3 linked regions of the Caenorhabditis elegans genome follow. The protein of the gene in region 1 interacts with the protein of each later gene in a pairwise test. Each region holds a gene or a part of one and is shown in the gene's direction. Other genes may lie near its edges. The genes, in order: clc-1, ifa-1 and F59C12.3.

Region 1 (4,173 bases):
TTATAAAATATTTGCAATACTACTTCAATTGTTCAAATTAAGTTTTTTGAGGATATGTTCCAAGAAACTGTTTCTCTGTTTACTTTCATTCCTACTCATTTTTAGTTAGCAATTTGAGAACTTTGTATTAATGGAAACCCAAATCGAACAGATCTACTACATATGATATTTTCGTAATTTGAATTAGCAAAACTCTTTCAGTAGGGATTTATGGAAATTGGAACGTTCGAGAGAAACCAAGCTATGCTAAACCTTTAATTTTTGCCAAGTTGCTTCTATTGCTTATTTTTATAATTTTTTAAAATAATTTGGTCCAGTTTTCAGCGTTTTTTTGATAACTACAGAAATTTTCACTGTGAAATTCAATTTTTTGGTTTTATTTCAAGTCCATCAAAACAAACAAATCCACAATTAGTGTCGTGAACCCGTCGTGAACCCGTGTCGTGAGCATTCTCGATGTTCCAAGTTTCATACGTTTTTTGCAACATGCTGAAATAGACAACATTCTTCTTTTGTATTATAGATTGACATTGGTAGTCTTCAAACTCAAAAAAACCTAAAGGTGGAGTAGCGCTAGTAGGGAAAGAGTGAAAAACTATTCCTATGGTTCCAAAATGACCGAATAGCATAATAAAATGTTTCAAAATTTTTTTGAAAACTTTTTTTTTGTTTACTGTCAAAATGTGAAAATTACTCAGTTTTTGCAACTAATTTCGGAAGTCGACCAAAAAAAGTTTGTTCCTACATTTTTTATCATACTGTAACTTTGTTTTAACTATTTGTAATAGAATATTGTAGTAGTCGGAACATTCGACATAGTTATGGATTTCCTCAAAACTCACATTTTTTTCAAAATTTTGACAACTTGCCAAAACTTTGACCGGAAACTAGAAAACATCTAAAATTTGTTGGAGTTTTTTCTTATGATATTCGGTTGTTTTAGATCATTATAAGTGCATTTAGACGAAATCCCCACTGGTGCTACTCCACCTTTAAAGGTTCGGTTATTTCACATACCTGATACACTTTGAAAAATGTCAAGTCATAAATTCCGTTTATCATTATTGTTTTGGTTATTTAAAACATCAAATAACCTTCTAGTAAATATTATTGTTCAGGCATGTATGATAAAAATCTTGAACAATTTGCTAACGATCTGATTGGAAAATTAATTAGCTTTGATTTTCCAATCTTTACCAAAAAAAAACCAACAATTTAAAGTTATTATTATTTCCACGAAATAAAAATGTTTTCGAATTTTTTATATTTCCAGACGTAAAAAGAAAGTTAGCTGAAACCACCTGTTTCTTGCCAATAAATCAGTTTTTTTTTTAAATATTCACAAAAAAATCATTTGAAAGTTTGAAGCTTGTTTCAAAACATTTTGAGTGAAGCTTACTAAACAAAAGTTTTTGAAAAATGAAAACACGTCACTTTTGTGTTCGCATATACGTGATTCACCGTAAACTCCACTTTTGTAAAACTACGAAAGATACTGGCTGAAATGATAGGAAAATTCGTCGAAATATTTGAGCATCTGACTGTAAGTTGATAACGATTATACGAACTAATCACCGTTTCCATCTGCTCAAAACTCGCTGACTCACAAAGAATTTTAACAGAAATTAAGAAATGGCTCTATGTCAACTTTCAAAATTCTACAACGCCCAACTTGAGTTTCTTATCAACACTTTATTTTTTGGTCTATCTCTTGACTGAATCATACCGAAAACGGTTACATGACGTGTCGAGGAGTTCTACTGATACGAGCAAGCAAACGCTTTATTTCTCTCCACCTCTTTACTTTAAAACTAGCCTAACTCTTGTATATAACACACATTTTTCATATTTTCTATCAAGTTCACGCCGTCCCATCGACATTTAAGGTAAATATTTGAGTGTTCAATCTTATCTATGAAGCATTTTTTTCATTCCAGTTTGTGTGACATAGCACGTTGCCATTCCTTATTTCTTGAAAACTAGTTCGGGTTGTGAAATTTTCTTCCAAAATTGGTCCTTTAGTAATGTAACTTGATACATCAGGTTTTGTGAAAATATTTTGAATGCTTCAAACGACGTTTGTTGTTTTATTTTTCACTCTCCGAGTATCTAAAATCTATTCAAAAATTAAAAAAATCCGTTTTGACTTTTTGCATCTAGTTTTATCACTTCTTCCTGTGTCCCTCCCAAACTTTTACAGCCCAGTTGGCAATGGCGATAAGAAAAACACTGTTTCTGCCCACTTTGAGCATTTATTTCATCATTTTCATATTTTGGTTAAGATGTATAGTTGTCAAATGTGCAGGCTATTTTAGTATTTTGTGCTGTCGTCATTCTTACATTGAAGTGCATTCTCATTCCGTAACTAGGTGGTTGCATAGATGCCACCATGTGTTTGTCTGTCGTCAATAGAAATTTCCATATTTAGGAGAAATTGTTTTCATACTTTTTTAATACTTTTTGTCCGTCAATCTTCTGAAAAAAATATTAAAATTAAAACCATATGTTTCAGGTTCACAATGTGTCTTTCCGGACTCACCCAAATTCTCTATGGACTTATTATGGCTGGTAGTGCTATTTTAACAGCAGTTGCTTTGTTTACGCCAAGTATGTTTCATCTTTGGAGATGTTAGAAAAAGTGAATTTTCAAACTCTCAGGTTGGAATACTGTTGAAAATAATGTGAAAGATATAACTCATATCAACACATCTGAATGGAATGGCTTGATGCCTTGGTCATGTATTGGTCACTCTCAGGGAACCCAGTGTCAGGATTGGTGGGCGGTATGTTGATGAAATTATTTATATGCTCAAAAATACTGTTTTCAGAATCTTCCAGGATGGATGAAATGTGTCGTCGTCTGCATGATCCTCTCTTTGATTGTCCAAATTTTTGCAGTTGTCTACAACTTTTTGACATGGTTAGATTAGCGAAAGCCGACATTAATATAATTCAAACAACTTTCAGCCTTGCCTGCTGCTGCAAGAAATATATCATCCATCCACTCACCCTCTTTGCAGTCATCTCTACTATTCTTCTGCTCATCGCTGTTATTGTTTATGCAGCTGAATGGAATCAATTTACAAATGGAATTAATACAAACTCGCAGGTGAGAATGCTATTCTTAATGTGGGAAAAAGTGTAAAATTATTTGATTGAAACTATTAAACTTCACTAAAACTCTTTTTTTACACATGTTCTAACCCTTTAAAACCCGATTATAAAGCTTTGAGAAACCCTCCCTATCTCACATTGAACAACTTTTTGGCCAATCTGCACATACCCTAAGGCGCAAAAGCTGCTCATAAACCTTTGTTTGTACAAACTCACAACTTAATTTTTCAGCTTGGATACTCGTTTTGGCTTGCAGTTGGAGCCCTCATCTTATCTGCGGCGGATGTCATTTTGGGAGCACTAACAGTGTGTCTTGGGGAACACTGCTGTTAATTAAACTTGATTATATTTATTATTTCCCTGCATTTTCTGTGATATAAACTGCTCAGCCCAGACGTCGGCACCAATCTATTTGTTAAAGCTTTGTAAGATTTTGAACTTGGTTTTTCGCATTTAACGCCGAACTACACTGAAAAAGTGCAAACAAGACTGGCAAGATGGGGACGGCAAAAAATGTAACGGTTTTGTGTTTGTAAAAGGTCTTTTGAACTGTGGTAAGACATGTGAATATGTCTGTTCTTAGTGACACACTGACGTGTCACGAAGATCAGGAGCAATTTTTGTCGATTTTTTTCGACTTGTTGCTCCCAAGTTTGCGGCGTGGGAGGCATCACTACTGAGGCTCGGTCAAAGAACATAGTCAATTATTTCACAGTTTCTTAAGAATTTGAAAAACGCGCGCAGCGAGAAAGATCATTAGTTGAACTCGGAACATAATATGTTAGATGAAATGTAACAATGCCAAGTGTTTGAGCAAAAATTGAAAGATGTATTGTGCAACAAAGGTTGAAAAAGTGAGTCATTGTAAACATTTTGATAGAAGTAAAGATTGGTGAAAATCTTTAGATAGTGACATGAATTCTAAAAAGTTGTTTTTTCTGTGAAAGCAACTGACTGACAATTCAATATATGACTATATACAATATACATATTCCGCTTATTAAAAATGTGTTTTTATTTTATTTTGCACTATTTTTTTAAAATAAACATATTTAAAAA
Region 2 (4,901 bases), 230 kb from region 1:
AGAAAACTGTTTATCTTCCCATTTTTCCAGAAACTCGTTCAAACGGATACTTCTCTCAGTGAGAAGCGGTACCTAACCAATCAACATTTCAAAAATGATGGAGATTACCAGAGAAAGTGAGTTTCTTCATTTTAACTACTTAAATTATTCCGATGACTTTCCAGGAGGTGAGTTGCGGAATGTTTGCCTTTGTATTTCGCGGTAAGGTGCTTACCATAGACTAACAAATCTAACTGATCAGCGATTGAAAATTCAAAACTTTGAAAAAATAACATTACAGGCATGCGTTTTTTAAAGAAAAAAGATTAATGAAACAGTGAGATAAGACGGAGTGCAAGATGAACAAGCACATCGGTAAATAAGAGGCTCGTTTCTTGTGCCTTGTCGCAATTTTTTATTGAGATATCTTTCCGATTGTCATTGAAGCATCACATTTATCCGCATAGGCTTATCTTATACTAGTGAATATTTTTGCAACTAGATCCTACTACTTTTTTATATAAAAATGTACACTACTACTCGTCCGGGTAAGTAACTGGCTGAAAATTGCATTCACTTCGGCAAAATAAATTATCTAACAGGAGTTTATTTACAAAAACTTGGTAGATCATTTCTGAATGTATATATAGTTTAAAAAACATCACTTTTTTTTAGACCTGAGCAATTTAAATACTCTTGCTAATATAAAACACCGTGTTTGCTGAAAAAATACAGTGTTTTACATAGTTAAAGCTCAATCCGTTGCTTGAATTTCATTTAAACGAATCCATATTCAATCTTGAAAGTGACAGAAGTAGAATAGGAGTGTTCCCAGATTTAATCGCTTTTGTGAAAACCAGACAACTAACACATATTCTCGCAACTTATATATGTAGGTGTTTCTAAACTTTTTCAAACATATTTGCACCGTTATTCCATTTGAACTAGTCATCAATCAATAAACTACTCGTGAGTACTCAAAGTTAATTCAAGGCTAATTTTCTTCTCACTTCAAATTTTTGAACAATTTTGTACAAACATATATTCCGAGGCGTTGTCTAGTTTTTGTCTCCTCTTCCACAAAAGTGCGTAGGCACGGTAGCAAATTGAAATGAATCACCTCAACCCAAAAAAATCTCAAATGTCATTTCGCACTTTAGCAAAGCCTCGAAACGTATGAATTTATGCAAAAACGCATGTCCAATAGGCGAAAAAAGTAGAATCGAGAGGAATCGTAACGACGTAAGGGTTGACTGAGTTGAGGATGAGATGATTTTTGGAGGACGCGCCCATCCCTCACACCTATTCTTTTTTCCGCATTCGCGCCAGATATCAAGAAGCCGCCGTTCCGTCCTCACTTCACACCCATTTTAAAGTGATTCTTGACGCCTCCCTTTGCAAAAAAATTCCAAACACCGACTTGAATCAATATAAATATACATAGGCAAACAACTATGATCTCATTTCCTTTCGTGGAAAAGGGCAATAATAATATTTGATTGAGTTTTCTATTTCTCCTCATAGATTTTCATAGGTTACTCATAGGTTTTTTTCTCTTTATACAACAGTCTAGAATACTGAAATATATTAATTTTGCATTGCCTGTTTTGTTCTGCCGCCATGTATAAAAAGAGTTGAGGAACAAAAAATTTCATTTTCTGACTATGGAAGGTTATATTGTTTCTCTTCCATCTTCGCGACGATCAAGCGCTTCTAGCGCTCGAAGCGAGCAAAGTTCCACACGAACTGTCAATTACGAAGTGATTGAAAAGAGTAAGCCTTTCTTGTGCCCTCAATTTCAACTAACTCAAAAAATTGCAATTTTCGTTTAATCCCTTTTGTCTACATGCTATTATCATTAGTGTGGGAGGAAGCTGCGGTTGGTAGCAATGAAGGAGGAGGAGTAGAAAATGTTGAATAAAAAGTGAGGAGCAGTGCAAGAAATTTGACGCCCACCTAGTTTGCGCACCGTTGAGACTCCGCTTTTGTCTCTACAGTCAGCCTCCGACTAATTCCTTGGTCACACATTACGGCAGTCAGGGGTTGCCATACAACTCACAACCTCATTTTGAAATTTCGAAGCTGCCGAGTACAGTCGGCCCTTTTCACTTTCACAATAGAAATTTACGATTTGCAGCGATGTCTTTCACTTCCACAACACCTTCAGCTAGAGCTCCGCTCGGAGGGCGTACAACCGGAAACGTTACTTGTAAGTTTATTGTTGTCTGTGCAAAACATTTAAATCAACATATTCCAGCCCAAGATCGTATGCTCAAAATTGTGACCGAGATGCGCTCAGGTGCTGGATCCGGCTTGTCGCCATTTGGACAAAATGCTGCATCAACCATCCGTGACTCTCGTGAACGTGAGAAGAAAGAAATGAGCGATTTGAACGATCGACTTGCTAGCTACATCGAAAAGGTGTGTAATAGGAATAAGATGGACCACACCCAATAGTTGTTTTTTAGGTCCGTTTCCTAGAAGCCCAGAATAGAAAATTGGCAGCCGATCTTGACGCACTTCGTTCCAAATGGGGAAAAGACACGCACAACATTCGTAATATGTATGAGGGAGAACTTGTGGTAGGAAAATACAGAAAGGAAACTTTTGGTTAGAAAACTATATTATAGGATGCTCAAAAGCTGATTGATGAAACCAATAAGCAACGCAAGGATATGGAAGGTCAACTCAAGAAGATGCAAGATGAACTCGCTGAGATGCGCAGAAAGTACGAACATATGTTTTGAAAATTATGAACAGCATATTACCGTTATTATACTTTTTCTACAAAATGTATTTTTCAGATTGGAAGATGCCACCAAGGGCCGTGAACAGGATCGCGCTAAGATCGACGCACTTCTAGTAACCCTTTCTAATCTTGAAGCTGAAATTAGCCTTCTGAAACGTCGTATTGCTCAGCTTGAGGATGAGGTGAAGCGGATCAAGCAAGAGAATCAGCGTTTGCTTTCTGAGCTTCAAAGAGCCCGTACCGACTTGGATCAAGAAACCCTCAATCGTATTGACTACCAAAACCAAGTTCAAACTCTTCTTGAGGAGATTGATTTCTTGCGTCGTGTCCATGACAATGAGATCAAGGAGCTTCAAACTTTGGCTTCTCGTGATACTACTCCAGAAAACCGCGAGTTCTTCAAGAACGAACTCTCCTCGGCTATTCGTGACATCCGTGAGGAATATGACCAAGTCAACAACGTTCACCGTAATGACATGGAATCCTGGTATCGTCTTAAGGTCCAAGAGATCCAAACGCAGTCTGCCAGACAGAACATGGAACAAGGGTATGCCAAAGAAGAAGTCAAAAGACTCCGCACCCAACTCAGCGATTTGCGTGGAAAGCTCGCTGATCTTGAAAGCCGCAACTCTCTCCTCGAGAAACAAATTCAAGAGCTCAACTACCAATTGGAAGATGATCAGAGATCTTATGAAGCAGCCCTCAACGACAGAGATTCCCAAATCCGCAAAATGCGTGAGGAATGCCAAGCCCTTATGGTCGAATTGCAAATGCTCCTGGATACCAAACAAACTTTGGATGCCGAAATCGCCATCTACAGAAAGATGCTCGAAGGAGAAGAGAACCGTGCTGGACTCAAGCAACTTGTCGAACAGGTTGTCAAGACCCATGCTATCACACAGGAAACCGATACCGGTAGCAGAAAGACAATTTTTTCCATTAAAACATACATCCTTTTTCAGAGACGATGAGAGTCGTCAAGGGCGAAACTGCATCCCGTCAATCGTTCCAGCGTTCTGCAAAGGGAAATGTTTCTATCCACGAGGCATCGCCGGATGGAAAGTTCATCGTCCTCCAGAACACACATCGTGCCAAGGACGAGGTAGGAACTTGAATCACAACAGTTTCAAATATTTTTTGTTCTCTTTCAGGCTATCGGTGAGTGGAAGTTGAAGAGACGTATCGACGGAAAACGTGAGAATGTCTACACGCTTCCAAGAGACTTTGTCCTTCGTGCCGGAAAGACCCTCAAAATCTTCGCCCGTAACCAAGGAGTTGCCTCACCACCAGATCAATTGGTCTATGATGCTGAAGACTCGTTCGGAAGCGGAAACAACGTCCAAACCATCCTCTTCAACAAAGAAGGAGAGGTGAGATCAACAATTAAATGTCATTATATTTACAACATTGATATTAATTTCAGGAACGTGCTACCCACATCCAACGCCAGAGCACTGCCTAATCAGGCGACTTCCCAACAATTAACTAGATATTGTGACAATTTCTTGTTGAAAATCCCAAAATCTTCTTCCCATTTTGTAACTTTCATGCTGATTTCTGCGCATTTATTTGACCTTATTTCAATAAATCATTTATCATTCAAACATCAAAAAAAAATTTGATCACAATGTATTTGCGTAGGTTATTTTCATAGAACAGATGATGTAAAATTCTCAAAATCGTCGGAATTCGCCCACCTGAAATGGAAGCGTATGTTTTTGGTTACTAATCAATAGAGCTGAACGAAATGCCGTAAATAATTGTATATCGGCGAGATGAGCCGACGTCGACATCTAAAACTCGCGTTACTGAGAAGTTTAAAGTGTTGTCCTTCTTAAAATTCCAGTTGCACGAATATAATGTTTTAAATTTTTAAATATAATTTTGAAGTAGGAGCGTATGCCAAACAAGGGAAAATATTTTGAAACTATGGTCACTGCGCTTGATTCGAGAAAATGAAGCTACTACAAAACTGTCTAGGGTTTTAACAAAATATTTTTCCGCTGGAATTGTTACCAAATACTTTTTCAGCGTTCCATCTAAAAGCACATCTATTGCATTTTTAAATGAGCTTTAAATTTGCACTGAGCACTACAGTTTGCTATATTATTTCAATAAAAAAATAGAAAGCGATTTTGAGATATGTATGCTTTTTGTGTTCTTCTGACTGTCA
Region 3 (7,990 bases), 5.6 Mb from region 1:
ATCGTTGATCAATCGATTTCTTACTCGCGTCTCGAGAGGGGCTACTCAATCAACACATTTCTAACACTTGACTAAAAGTTTTACATGGTTTAACTCTTTTCTTTTTTGTTGATAATCTTTTATCAATAGATTTCAAACTTATATGCTATTCATAGTTCATTATTGAAGCTTCTAGTTAATTATTATGACATTGAAATATTTTTTTAATTTGCTATCACAAAGAAAGAAACCAATTGTCACATAGAATCAAAAAATTGGCATTTTCTATTCAATAACCCATATATTAAATCAATAATCACTAACGCATAAAATGATCCTAAAATACTTTTGATGATTTTCAAATGATTTGTTCAAGGAAACTTAAAGCAATTTATGTGAAAATTCGATAAAACTCAGTATCAAAGAAAAAATAAAATAAAACCAAATAAAACTAAATAAAACTAGGTAAAACTAAGTAAGTAAGTAAAATCGAAAAAGATTCTAAAATATTTAAAAAAATCAGAAGTCAAAAATCCAATTCTACAAGATGATAAACCGACGAATTAATTTTTGTTCGTAATTCCTAGAACTACTGTGTTTTTCATTGCAGTATTTCTTGCAATACCATTTTTTGACTGTTTATATTTGAAATTCAATATACAAAACTGGAATTTACGTAGGATTCAAACAAAAATGTGCACATTTAGAAACAAAATTATACGAGCATTTTGAAGACGCTGGGAATCATAGAAGATCCATGAAAAATACCATGGGGTGCAAAATTGATACAAAACATACCATACCTAAAATTATTAAACGAAAAACTACACATTAAATATCAAAATAGTTTTAAAAAAATTCGTCATATAAAACATATTCTCTTTCCTCATATTTTTGTTTCGAAGTTTTTGTTTCTATTGTTTATGTTTTCGGCTAGCTTCATCATATTTTGCTTTTCATCCTGCCCATTTGTTGTTCAGTACACATGATTCAAAAACAAAAAAACTGGAAAAAACAGCAAAAACATAAGTTTCTTCATTTTGGATTTCGACCACGTCAGAGATTAACACGGATAAGCCGCGATAATCAGAACTAAACTAAACGATTTTGGAAAGAAGGTCTTCCACACGAACGCGTGTAATTATATAATTAGGAACTTGCATTTCGGGTCAGGTCACTTGAAACCTTTTAGTGTAGTTTAATCGAAACTGCGTTTGACCGCCCGAGACGGGTTTGTGTTAGTTTTTTGTTGTTGAGTATTTGTGACTTATACCAGAAATTGTCACTTTTAGTTTGGTCTTACAGTTTAGAGTATTGGTATATTATCAAATTAGATTTAATTCAATTTTAAACTAATGAAAATGTTTCTACATTGTATGTATTAGCTCACGAAGTGTCTTCTTATCATTCGTAAAATTTGGGAACATGTTGCACTGGCAACAATATTCATGGTTTAGTTTTGTTTAATTTTTTTCCAGAATACATATAATTTTGTATCATTTTTTCATGTATTCTTGTGGCGTCAATGTGTCTCATTTTGGTTTGATCTACGTAGACCTACAAAAAATGCAGGAGTTCAGACGCAGAGTTCTCAACTGATTTTGCACGGTTAAGAACGCGCTGGCGTCAATTTTTTTTCGATTGAAAAACTCCCGCATTTTTTGTAGATGAAACCGTAATGCCTGACACCGTGGGCCTGACACCACGTTTGTATTTGCATTCAAAATATTCATTCATTCAAGATGTGAAGTTAAAATTCATGTTAGTATTAGCTTCATGTAGTTTAGTTGAAAAATGACCACGTGAGAATTACGTTATTGATTAAATATTTCTAGGTATGATTGCCATATTAGCACCCAAATAAATGTCTAATTTTTCTCACCTATTTTTTTCTCGTTCTACATTCAATCTTGATGATTCACTATTTAATCGAAACTAATCTCAGGGTGAATGAATCGAGGGGACGTGATAGATCCGCGCTCGTCGGATGGCACATCATCGGATCAGCGACGAGTGCATGCAGTGCCACCGACACCCATGTATCAGGGAGAGACGAACATTTTAGACTCACTTCTAAAGGAGGCTCAGTTGAATCCAAGTCTGAAAGCGAGTGGTGAGCAATATCGAACCAGGGGTCCTGCAATTCGAAAAACTATTTTTCAGTGATGAACCACCAGGCTCAAACAAAAAGCAAGGATGACGACGAGAAGCGGTTGCAGAAGATGCTCGAAAAATATCAGCTTGAAATGAACATGCAAAGAGCAAACAGCCGGAAGGATTTACATGGAAGTGCAGGACGTGCGTGTGACATTTTTTGTTTTTTTTCTGTTTTTGGTGGATTGATGAAAATAGTATATTATTTCAGCATCACCTATCAGTCATTCTCAGCCATGTCTTATTGCGAGTGGATCAAGATCGTCAGAGTAAGTATTGGTTTTATGATGTTTTTGAAACGTTATACGGTAAACTGTAAAATTTTTTTTGAATGTATCAATAACTTTATCCACAGTGTTTCCCACTATGCATTAATTTCAGCCACACTTTTTAAATAAGGAAATTTGTAGCATTTTTTTTTTCATTTTATAAAATTATAAAAATCGTAGAAAACATTTTGGTGAATTTAATAAGTAGTAAGTGACGAATACTGAAAAATTGCTAGATTTCTCTCTTTTTTTTTTGTGAATAAAAAATTCAAAAATTATAACAAGAGTTTCATTTTTATATTTAATCACTATATTCGTATGGAAAAACTTTTAAACAACTTCCGCACAGGTTTTTAGCTAAACGATTATCTAAAATTAAAACTTCCTACTTTCAAGTTGCATTTCAAAAAACAAACAAACTTTTTTGACAAACTCAACATTTTTCCTGAGATATTTTTTTTACAAAAAAAAGCTTGACCTTCTTCTTTTAAACATTAATAATTTCAGTATTCCCCCAAATGAATCAAAAATGAGCACATCTGCCTATCAGCGTAGGGCATCTGCATCTGGAGATCAAGCACTTGACGTCCCCACATTGAGCCAAACTAACAGAGTAAGAACTTCAACAAGCAACAGCAAAACAAACAATTATTTTAGGGAGTATCCAGCAACCAGAAGCTCATTCAAATTCTCCGCGAGGAGAATGTGCACTTGAAAAAAGAGCTCGACGCTTTCAAGCGCAGTCTTTCAAAACTACAACAGGTTTGTTGGAAGTTTCAAAATAGTGGGAAACCTAAATGCTTGCAGATTGAATACTCATATGCTCGACTGGAAAAAGAATACGAATACTTGGCAAATGAACGAAAAAAGCAAGAAAATTTAGAGCTGAACGTGATTATTCAATTGGAAAAGTCTGTAAAAAAGTAAGTTGGTTGAAAATCTTGTCGGTAAAAAGAGACAACAATTTTCTGATATTTATATCTAATGAAGGCAATATAAAAAAGTTTCCATTTAAAAATGAATTGAAAACTATTTCACAAAATTCACGAGCAGCACTTTTTTGTTGTTTGGGGCAAACTAGACAAACATTGAACACAACTAATATCATTGAAGTTCACAACAATAATGATTTGATTAAACAAACTTGGGCAAAATACTCTTCGCATTTGGCTCTTGCAACTTGCCCAAGTTTGGCCCAAAAAATCTTAACTTGGCTTAGAAGTTGGCTAAACTTGAGAAAAAGGATTGAGACTGCACCAGAGTTTAACCAAAGCCGAACTCTACTCTTACCCTACTTTAAACCCAACTCTTGCCAAACTTTGGCCCAAACTTTTCTTGTTTCGTTTCAAACTTTGGTAGAAGTCTGGCGAGAGTTGGGTGAAACTTGTGTTGAACTTTGGTGTAATTTTTGCCGAAGTCTTGCCTAACTTTTGGCCAAGTTGCGCCAATCCATGTTGATATTTTGTAGGACAAAGTTGGGCAAGAAGCCAGAACCAAATGCCGAGTAAGCAAAAAAAAGCTTATTTCATACAAAGTTTTACACGGGCATATTTTTCTGAAATTTTACAATATTTTTATTTTAAAAAGTTTATCCAAAAAAAAAACTGACAAGCGGCAATATATCAAACAAACATCCAATCAACAGGAAAATCCATTATCTTCTAAAAATCTTAGTTTCAGACTTACCATCGAAAGAGACGACTTGCAAATGCGGCTGGAAAAAGCAAGTACTGAACCAACGATGGTGGCGAACCTGATGTTAAACGAAATTCAGCAGAGTGAGGAGAAAAAAAGAAATAAATTTGATACAATAGAACTGGAAACAGAGAAGCAGAATGAGAAATATGAAAAAAAAAACGAATAAAATACTTATACAATTGATTTTTTTCCGATTCAGGGCAAGAACTCTTCGCATGCAAAGAGCGGCAAAAAATGGAGATTGAGGCACAGAATCAGACGTTGGAGGAGCAACGAAATCATATTGCAATGCTTGAGAAGGCACTCGCCAATTCACAAGAGAGATTGGCGAAGCGGGAAAAAGTATGGAATATTTGTGGGAGAATGTGCTGAGCGGAATGGATAACATTTCCAATTTATTTATGGGAAAATGGGGGGAGAACAAAAGTATAGGACCACAACAGTGTACTTTTGATAAAAGTGAACAGTTGTTTGGGTATTTTGTGAATATGGAGAATTTCTGAACATATAGACTAAAAATGTTTTCAAATGAACGAAATTCGTAATGAAACTTCTCCAAAAATTTAAAATTTTTTTTTCCTGACTGTTAGCTAAAATCTCTAATTTAGAATATTTTACCGTGTCGCAGTAGTCGGAAATTGAAGTTTTTGAATTATGATCTCACTTCGTTGATTATGGTACATTTAGAGCCCATTGGTGGCCAGGTTTGGTCACCTTTGGCCACTTTTTCGGTTTTTAAGGATTTTGATCAACATGACTTCATAACGAGACAACCCAAAAATAAATAAAAAATTGTCTCACTAGCCGGAAATCAATTTTTACTTGAAATAGATTTTTAACAGTTGTCTCATTTTTTTTGTTTTTGATGAGACACTCCAATTGATATAATAATGAATAAAAGTGAAACGCGAAAAAAATTTGCAAACTGACGTGGGAAAATAAGAAATGAAAAAAAACTTCCATGTGATACAAACAACAATTGAAAACGTGCTGTGTTTAGAAACATTCAGAACTTGTCTATCAATTTTTTTTCTATTTTCAAGGTAATTTTAAAGGCACTCAAATAGTTATGTACCATTACTTTTGCATTCATATTCAAAAAATATTGCGAAATTCAAATTTTAATTTAACTTTGCAATATACCTTGCACTTCCGGACTTCTCTAAAAAATGTTTTTTGCTTTCTTAACTTACATTAAAAATATTTTTTAAAGCTCCCAAATCAAAACTGTTTTCTTGATAGTACGTTATCTTTTTTTTGAAATTAAAATTCAATAAGAAACACTTTTTCTAGAAATGCGAAGAATTGTCCGCTGTAGTGGCACACGCTGATGAGCTGCGAAAGCAACTAAACGAAGTATGGGAAGAACAACATCGGAGGGATCAGATGGTTGAGTCGGAACGGGCTCAGTGGGAAATGGAGAAGACTCAGCTAAGAATGCAATTGAACAAAGACACATCACTCACTGGAAGTCTTAAGGTTTGTCTCGAAACAGGGAGAGAAATAGTAGTAAATGAAAGTAATGTGGGGTGTGCTAGGAAAAGGGGGGGGGGGGGCGACAACATTTGAACCGGTTCCCGATTATGGGGTTAAATGTCCGGTAATGAAAGTTTTATTGATATAGATCAGCACCGGTCTCAGTATTTTTTTTCTGAAAATTAGATGGGACGCCTATAGGTTAGTACATTTGAAAACGTTTGCAGAGGGTCTAAAGAGCGTCATCATTTTTCTAATATATACCATTAAAAAATGGAGAATTAAAAATTTTTCTAGCATCTCATAATTTTTTTACTGGAAATTAAAATTATAAACTATTATTATTAGTTTATCTTCTATAACAATCTTATCCTAGATATTGCCGTCTAAGCCGTCTTTGTACATAGTAGTACATAAGCCCTGAAATAGAACATGCCAGAACATCTATAGAATTACTCATGGAATTACTAACCACTACTCATTTGCATAATCATCAATTTTGCAGCGAACCACTACTCCCGGCAGCACAGAGGATCTTATTCGAATGCGAAAGAGCATTCAATCAAAAGACGACAAGATTCAGCAACTCGAAAGAATGGTGAACGATTTGCGAAAGTTTGTTTTTTTTTCTTTCTCTCTTCTTTTATTCTCTTCGTTTGTTGAAGAACTGAGCCGAAAACGGAAATGGAGAGCAGAATTGAAAAAGCTTTTTTTAGAACTCACGGTGACAAAACTGAGCAACGGAAGTCAACTCTTGCAACAATAACTGACAACTTTGAAACCCAGGTGGACAAATTGAAAGAGGAGAGTTATGAAAAGGTGAGGCAAGAACTGCTGCTAAATTTTTTATACAAAATTTAAAACAAGTGAAAACATTTATAAGGGATCTTTTCAAAAATAGAGACGTTACTTTTCAAGGTTACGTGTTTTCTCACAGAAAATGTTTTCAATAAATTGTTTAAAGTTTCCCAGTTGCCCCTTATACATATTAACATAATTTATTGTTACATATACTATATAGCACTAAATTTTCGGTCATAAACCCAGTTTATAAAAGCCTCAACAACCGCTCTCTTTCGTGTCCTCGGTAGTATAGTGGTGAGTATCCGCGTCTGTCACATGCGAGACCCGGGTTCAATTCCCGGCCGGGGAGAATCTTTTTGCCTAATAACTTTGGGAGTTTAATTCAAGAGAGTAATTTTAGATTGGTATATTTAATTATCGCGCCTAGAATAAATAAAAATGTTTCTGATATTTGATATACTAGAAATGAGCTTTATTTCTATTATAGAGAACATCAGAAAACACACTTTGAAATGAGCTCACAAATTACAACGGGCATATTCGATGAATAATTGATAAATTTTAGGATCTGATCATCAACGAACTGAGGTCGGAGCGGGACAAATATGCAGCAATGGTAGATAAAAGTGAGTATATGAAGCCCTAGTCGGGAAAAAAGAAAGGCAAAGGGGGAAGCGTCGACTGCATTTCTTTTGGCATGTGAAAAGAGCACTCTTCTTCCTCTCTCCTTTTTTTTCTCATTTCTTTTCTTTTTTTCCAGACAGCGGAGACGAGGCACTGAGTAGAATGGAGGAAATTAGACAGAAAATACAGGAAAGGAAGAAAAAAGGTCGAATGGGCGTGACTGGAGGGTAAGACGCAGTTTTATTAATTGCTCAAATAAATCAAATATAATTTCCTTAATTCCCATATTCCAGGCTATCAGAACATGCAAGAACTTCATCGGGCTCGTTGATGCAAAATTCTCTTCATCGGAGGTGAGACAAAAAATTATGAGACCGTTGTTTTTTCTTCCTAGGAAACTTTGCAAAAAGTACTCAAAATTTGAGTTTTCTGAACGAAAGCAAAACTACAGTGAATCTTGAACTTTTCTCTAATTGTAAGTTCCTTTTTAAGTTAGTTTTTGAGTATAAAATTTTCAGTTGAATACTTTCTAGAAACACACATAGGTCAAGCTGAAAATACTAGCTCCAGAATCTATTACGATTCGATAAACATCTTCAAAAGTAACAAACTATACAAAAAAAGTTGCAGATCATCATCTGGATCATCATTCGACCCTGTACCGACTGCTCCAATTCCTTACAATATGTTCAAAAATAGTAACAATAACAAGTCAATACTTGCGGATAACCAATTTTCTTGAATATTCCTCATGCACTAGTCATCGAAATTCTATTTATTATTTACAAACACGCTACCAACAACACACTTTCCTTCTTTGTTACTTTCTGTTACATGCATAATTCAATTTATTTTTCAATTCAAGTTTCCAAAGTCCATTCCTCTTAATACAATTTGTATGTAGTTTTGTTCTTTTAATTTTTAGCCAGTTTAGATGATGTACTTGTATTTTTTCCATCAGCTTCATAAGCTCATTCAAAAAGGCC

Evidence for each region.
Region 2: the proteins of clc-1 (region 1) and ifa-1 interact in a two-hybrid assay, tested with the Caenorhabditis elegans proteins (one large-scale study listed by BioGRID).
Region 3: the proteins of clc-1 (region 1) and F59C12.3 interact in a two-hybrid assay, tested with the Caenorhabditis elegans proteins (one large-scale study listed by BioGRID).

The regions. Positions count from the first base shown.
Region 1 is NC_003284.9:11,045,724-11,049,896, forward strand, and holds clc-1 (Claudin), read left to right. Parts: upstream 1-1,722; 5' UTR 1,723-1,886; intron 1,887-2,512; 5' UTR 2,513-2,519; coding exon 2,520-2,607; intron 2,608-2,658; coding exon 2,659-2,783; intron 2,784-2,828; coding exon 2,829-2,920; intron 2,921-2,967; coding exon 2,968-3,109; intron 3,110-3,345; coding exon 3,346-3,447; 3' UTR 3,448-3,552; downstream 3,553-4,173.
Region 2 is NC_003284.9:11,271,154-11,276,054, forward strand, and holds ifa-1 (Intermediate filament protein A), read left to right. Parts: upstream 1-1,643; coding exon 1,644-1,752; intron 1,753-2,116; coding exon 2,117-2,188; intron 2,189-2,236; coding exon 2,237-2,400; intron 2,401-2,447; coding exon 2,448-2,561; intron 2,562-2,609; coding exon 2,610-2,707; intron 2,708-2,783; coding exon 2,784-3,643; intron 3,644-3,690; coding exon 3,691-3,830; intron 3,831-3,879; coding exon 3,880-4,098; intron 4,099-4,151; coding exon 4,152-4,190; 3' UTR 4,191-4,329; downstream 4,330-4,901. UniProt on the Caenorhabditis elegans protein: Cytoplasmic intermediate filaments make up the structural component of the cytoskeleton providing mechanical strength to cells.
Region 3 is NC_003284.9:16,603,459-16,611,448, reverse strand, and holds the start of F59C12.3 (Angiomotin_C domain-containing protein), read left to right. Parts: upstream 1-1,924; 5' UTR 1,925-1,929; coding exon 1,930-2,092; intron 2,093-2,142; coding exon 2,143-2,277; intron 2,278-2,344; coding exon 2,345-2,402; intron 2,403-2,572; exon of another isoform or gene 2,573-2,797; intron 2,798-2,909; coding exon 2,910-3,015; intron 3,016-3,059; coding exon 3,060-3,164; intron 3,165-3,209; coding exon 3,210-3,325; intron 3,326-4,082; coding exon 4,083-4,180; intron 4,181-4,299; coding exon 4,300-4,442; intron 4,443-5,393; coding exon 5,394-5,579; intron 5,580-6,081; coding exon 6,082-6,191; intron 6,192-6,292; coding exon 6,293-6,395; intron 6,396-6,646; exon of another isoform or gene 6,647-6,739; intron 6,740-6,945; coding exon 6,946-7,006; intron 7,007-7,140; coding exon 7,141-7,231; intron 7,232-7,297; coding exon 7,298-7,357; intron 7,358-7,634; coding exon 7,635-7,746; 3' UTR 7,747-7,990.